Linked DNA regions of Drosophila melanogaster. The protein of the gene in region 1 interacts with the protein of each later gene in a pairwise test. Each region holds a gene or a part of one and is shown on either strand. Other genes may lie near its edges.

Evidence for each region.
Region 2: the proteins of Tom (region 1) and CG12784 interact in a two-hybrid assay, tested with the Drosophila melanogaster proteins (one large-scale study listed by BioGRID).

The regions. Positions count from the first base shown.
Region 1 is NT_037436.4:14,967,451-14,970,934, reverse strand, and holds Tom (twin of m4), read right to left. Parts: upstream 1,592-3,484; 5' UTR 1,509-1,591; coding exon 1,032-1,508; 3' UTR 629-1,031; downstream 1-628.
Region 2 is NT_033777.3:15,761,151-15,764,087, reverse strand, and holds CG12784 (uncharacterized protein), read right to left. Parts: upstream 974-2,937; 5' UTR 920-973; coding exon 614-919; 3' UTR 537-613; downstream 1-536.

The DNA.
Region 1 (3,484 bases):
TAAACGGCCCTAATAATTTATTCGCTGGGTTGGTAGGTCCTTTCGCCGGAGACGGGAACGGCTGCTGAGCTGGATTAGACCTCGCGCTAGGTGGTTGGGGTGCGTGTGAAGCGTGTGAACCATAATATGATATGAAAAGATATGATATTTACTATACCAATATTTTCGAAATATAAATAGAATAAATAAATAAATACATATATACTACAAAGGTATATATTAGGTATATTTGAAACAAAAATCATATTTTAACGATAACAGATGCAGAAATTGTATGAAAGACAAAAAATAATATTTGGTGAATATTATATTAGCCTGTGGTCAGGCTAAATATAAATGTAAATAAAATTCTTTATTGTTCTTACGGAAGTATTTCCAACTGCCTACCAGCAGCATTTTTGGATTCAAATGGTCTCCAAGCAGGAATGAATGCAGTCACTAATTGGAATGTGTTCACCAGCATAGCGAGTCCAATTTAAAATCCATTCTTCAAATCAGAATTGTACAGAGTAGCCGAATTTAACTATACTTACAATGGTCATTCAATTTGGGATTTTTCTTTTCCAACCTTATTCATATTATTTCATATCAGTTTTCAGAATAAAGAGACATTAGAATTTCCTTTTTTCGATTTATTTATTTCTTATATGATATTAGTGTTTATAGCTAAAGTTTTACATGGAAGACAATGATTCTTAGCCTAATTCTTATACGAAGACCCTAACAAACAAACATGGAAGACAATGATTCGGCTAAGACTAACTTAAGGCTAATAAGACACGATAAATCACAATGAGTTAACGATAGTAACGCTTGATTGTGATAATTGAATATCAATTAGAGTTGTGTTTCCCTTGGGACGCGAGCCCAAAGAATCCAATCTATGCCTAATATCACCCTGAGATTACGAACATGCGAAGCTGAACCCGCATCCATCCGACGACCAATGGACGGAGACACTTGCACTTAAAGCTGCCAATTGGAGTTTTTCCCGGTGCATCGAGAAGTGGAACTGTGCATCCTGGCGATGTTTAGGCCTGAACCCAACGGTCGAACTGCTGGCGCAACTGCTGTTCGTGGTGCTGGCGAGCTCCCTCGGCTGAGGTCCAGAAGAAGGTGCCGCTGGTGGTGCGGGCGAAGTGGACCGGGATGAAGGTCTGCTCCGGATGGACGGGCACGATGCTCTGTTGCTGACCCTGCTGCACGATCATGGCCACGTTGGTGGGGCACTGGCGGAGATCGGTGTACAGTCGCTGCTCCAGCTCCTCGTTGGCCATGTTATCGCAACTGGCCGCCGGATCTTTGCGCATGTCCTCCAGCGAGGCGTTGACTGCATTTTGGTTCTGGATCTCGGCCAGAGTCTTCCGGAGTAGCTGCTTCTTCTTCACCAGTCGCAGAAGGGGTTTGACCAGTTTCCTCAGACTCCGCATGGCCATCGTGTGCTGATCTGATTTCGGCTCCATCACCTTGCTGCTCTCAAACTTGTATTCCCGTGTGATGAACGACATTGTGTTGAGGATTGTTGAGATTTATAATAAAACTTGGGATCTTAGTTGGTTGCACTCGGTTGAGAGTTGGTAGTATTCTGGTTTTCCTGCTGCACGACCGACTCCTTATATACGATTTGCTCTCTTTGGTTTCTCTCGGCGGGGGAGAATTCTCGCACAGAGCGGCGGTTCTCTCGATCGATGGACCCAGCCAATGGGAAGGCAGACTGCCTGCAGGTGGTTGCACAAACAGTGAGAGCGGGAGACAAAAGAGAGCCAAGAGAAAGCGGTCTCGGAATCAGGAGCATGTCCTTACCCTTGAGAAAGCAGGGTATGATGAATTTTTGAGTCTGTGCATAAAAAATAGATTTTACGAAAAATAAGGTTAATATGTTTTTATTGTGTGTATATCTTTTAAGTGTATTTTTTCTAAAAAAAATTATTTATAATAGTAATATTGAAAGGGGCCATATAAGGTTGAATTTAATTGAATTGAATTCATTGAATTTATAATAACTATAGTAATAAGATCATAAACTTGATGAAAAATATCAATATTTAAGGACTCTATTAAAATTAAACTTAAAAGACTAGCAAGAATAAAATGTATCCTAAAATATTTGGTATACAACTAAATTAAAAACTATTTAAAATTAAATAATTAAGATCGGCACAGCCTTACAAAAAAAGTTTTCCTTAACAGCACACTGCTAAATTAAGGTATGTAGGAAGTACATCGGTAAAATTACAATAAATACAAAGAGATCGTTGTATATTTAACAATTATTTAGTATTTTACTAATGGTATTTATTTTTTGGAACATAGCATACCATACTAAGTCATTTACTTTAAAATTTCATATGTTTCCCACGTGATTCAAATGCTGGGTATTACCCACTCGAGTTGCTCATTCACTGCAGGTTTTTAACGGATTTTTTGACAGTCGCATAGATCTCGGTCGGTTCTCGATCTTTCGCCCCCTCTGAGAGTACCATGCCTCACAACCTCTCTTTACCTGCTCGACTCTGTCGCAAGAAAAGTAGAAGTCCCTAAATCCCAAACGTAAAATTCCAGGAGAGTACCGAGCGGACAAGTCGAAACTTGTTGAAAAAATTCCATAACAGAGTGTGAGGGAAGAGAGATTTTAAAATTCGACACACTATCCGAAAAAAGACGGAGGATATGGACAAACAATGGATTGGCATATCTCGGAGATACAATCTCGCCGCTGGAAATACCCAAACGGACAAGGGACTTGTCCGTTATTTCATTGAGACAGCCCAGAAAGTGCCCCTAAGTCCTTCCGTCCGATCGTCCTTTTCCTATTTTCCCAACCTGTAGGTAGTTGAGCAAAGTAACGTATTTTTCGGGTACTTGGCATTGCGATGGAATGGGATGGGATCGGACTCTCAAGGTTAGTCAATATGCATTAATGCCGCATTTCGGGAAATCTCGGCAGGTCCTTTTCAGCTCCTTCCGATCGCATTTGTTTGTCATTGTTGTTCTTTCCCGGTTCGAGGGACCTGCTCTGTTGATGCGTGAAAAATTTTCGACGCGGGAGAAGCACGTACAGATAGGGATCTTCAGAGTTTTGGTTTTTGGCTCGGTTTACGCATTTTAGTGGAATTTCGTCGGCACTTCGTTTATGAGTCGCCTTCCTAATTGTTATGGGCCCTTTTCCCTTGCCCCCGAAGGTTACTTTCATAATTTTGTAACGGCTCCGAGGACTCGAGTTTCTTGTAACGGTCGTTTCGTTCCTTTGGCTATCCTTACGGTCATTAAGAGGGTCCCTAATTGGCCCCCGTCTGATTGCTGTGCCCCGCATTACGCAGAGCTTCTTTGTTTTAAGGTTCTCCCTTTTGCAATGGAAACCTGTTTATTATTTTGCGCAATTCGGTGGGGTGCATTATATCAATTTCAATCGCAGTGAAGCAGAGTCGAGGGGTTAAATTGGGGTCTACACTTGCCTGGCTGTTGATTGTCAGAAGACGTGACC
Region 2 (2,937 bases), on another chromosome or scaffold:
AATCGCGCCGTCGAAACGAGCGTCACGGCCAATGGTGAAACGTTGAACGAGACAAAACTTGGCCAACACACACACTCACATACACACTGGGCAAAAATGGCAAGCAAACTATTAAATGAGGGTGTGAGTGTCGGGGAAGGGGGATTTTCATGGGTCGCACTGCAGTTTGGCATTTTTGTTGACCGGCCAGGACATAAACATGGATCCTGTGTCTGGGCTGCAACTTCTGTGCCGTAGCTGTCTCTCTGTCCCACTCATTGTCCGGTTGTTAGGCCTTTAAATGTCCTGACAGGAATGTTGATGGCAAACTCGGTTATCGATATGTGAACAACGTTGAGGCTATAAATAAATAATGGGCCAGTGTGAAGGACTAAAATGATGTTGGGTTATTCGAGAGGCCACATAAGAATGGCTGACAATTCGAAATAACTTCTAGTAATGGTGAAGCTGTGTCAAAGGATTCTGTATAGACTGTAGACAATTGTATTCCTGTAAAAGAACCAAACTTTGTTTATAACTTTTTGTTTTAAAAATTTGTATATTAAAGCGACGCTTTATGAATAGCAGAAGAGTATCCAATATATATATAATATATAAACAATTTACAAGAATTTTACTTTGCCTTCAACTGGCAAAAAAGGCCAGATATAAAGTTCGTACACGATGTTAGAATATCGGGCACAGCCATGAGACCATCTTTCATTTCCGAAAGAGTGACGAAACGGTATGCCATCAAAAGTGCCACAATAACCAATGTTGGTATGGCCAGAGATACCAGGATGCGAGCCACAACGACAATGGCAAAGCTGATCACTATCAGGGTCAGAAGAACGGCCAAGATGCGTCCCATTTCACCGGGCTTCACTTCACTTTTAGTCCACGCATCCAAACGGTCAAACACGTTTTCACCGAAATCCATTTCTTCGTGTGTGTTGATTTTATCTTGACGTCTAACTTTGAATTTTTTTCGAACTAGAATGAACTTTTCTTTGAAGGCTTTCTGAAAACTGGTGGGACCTAATATATTTCCACAATATTCAAATTTTCAATTGAAAGTATAGTATTTAATGGGTTGGATTTGTTTAAGACTTGAGTTCGAATGAACAAATATAAATGGTTGTCTTCTGTCCGCAAAAACTTAATCATTGGGAAGATATTTGGTAGGGGTGACGTTGGAGGTACAACCACGAACTTATAGCCACATCGGCAGCTGTGAAATCTAAATGGCATTCTTGATGTCAGCGACAGGATATCTCGCCGACTGCCGAACCGTGTCCTGACAACTTGACAAATGAATGATCGGGCCGCAGTCTCGGCACCGCAGAGCGGCCAACCTCAGACAGCAGGCAACAGACGCAGGACAATGGACACAGGACGATGGACACGGGGGCATATGGCGGTCCTGACGCGACGACAAACCGCAAAAAGCGAAACGGCAATCGACCAACAACAGCAACAATAAAGGGCAAAAATGAACCCGACAATTTCGCCGCCACCAGCAACCGCCATTCCAACAATCATGAAAGCACCGAGCACCAAGCACCGAGCACCGATTACCGATCGGCAGGACCGGGAGGTCCTGCAAGTCCTTTGCCGCCTGCCATCGCCGGTCAGTTGGTGTCTGTGCATGAATTCCATCATATGATATCAATTAGTGATAGTGCGGTGCGACTGAAATGTCATTTGCAAAAATGCGCATATTTTAAACGTGACACACGCCGGCGCTCCTTTGGCCCCCCACATCATCCACCCAACCATCAAGCCATCCCATCCATCCAACCAACCATCATCCCATCCAGACACGCCATGATATCTCGCTAACGGAGCGAGAGTTATACGAATGCCCTTTTCAACGCAGGAAGGATTGATTTTGCCAGGTGTTTCTGCATTTTGTTAACTTGTTTCCACTTTAAAAACTTATTCTTATACTATTAAGCATTTAGCATAATTATTTTAAAATTTATATTAATTAAAGAGAATGGATTGAGTTAGGCAACACAACTCATTAAAATAGATTCATAGATTGCATCTTCTGTGAAATAAAACATAATCACTCAATTTATAATTTGATGTTTTTACCTGGTGATGAAGAGCATTAACTAATCGGTTAGCTTGTCCCACCCTAATTGACCGGCTTGAATTCCCTTTTTTGTTCCGCTCGCTGAGACCATAAAAACCAAACAGAAAATGTCCAAACGGACCAAACCTGCTGCCTGGTCAGCCACATAAAAATCAGCTCGCCCGCATCAACTGCATGCCAACAACAATGGGGCGTATGAATATGCAACGAACGCCGCCGATGATGACCACGATGGGGCAAAGGGGAATGGAAAATGCGCCGGGTGGGGGAGGAGGATTCAGTCCAGTCAGACCTGCAACGGATATCCATGCAGGTGCAATCTCAAACAGAACTTACCACAGAAACACACGGGGGATCCGCGGGGGCTTGGTTTCGGGAATTGGGCGAGAAGACATGTCAACGTAACCAGAATACGGATGGCGGAGGCCAATAAAACTGCAGCCAAGTGCAGCTGATGCAACGATTTGGTGGCACACACCATCAGCGCCACCCGCGCCAAACGCAAATTGCATTTTCAGTTTTTTATCTCAGCTGAGACCTTTCAGGGAAATTTAATTTGCTTTTTCGCCGCCGGCCAACAATATGCGGTACGTGAAAATGCCGTCGAGTGCATTGATTGTTGGCTTATTGACACTGCCAATGCGAAATTAATGCCAGCACAAATGCGCAAACTTGCCAAATTGTGCGTTGCCTTTTGTCGTTTATGCGGTTGATAAGATAAGTCACTCTCTCACAATGAATTTAATCTCATACAGTTTGTTTTCAGATTTAAATAACTGCTCACTTTAAGTAAATTAGCTCAGGCGTTATGTTGCTGTACTCGTTGACCTTCGACCTGAGGAATTTTTTTATTGGTG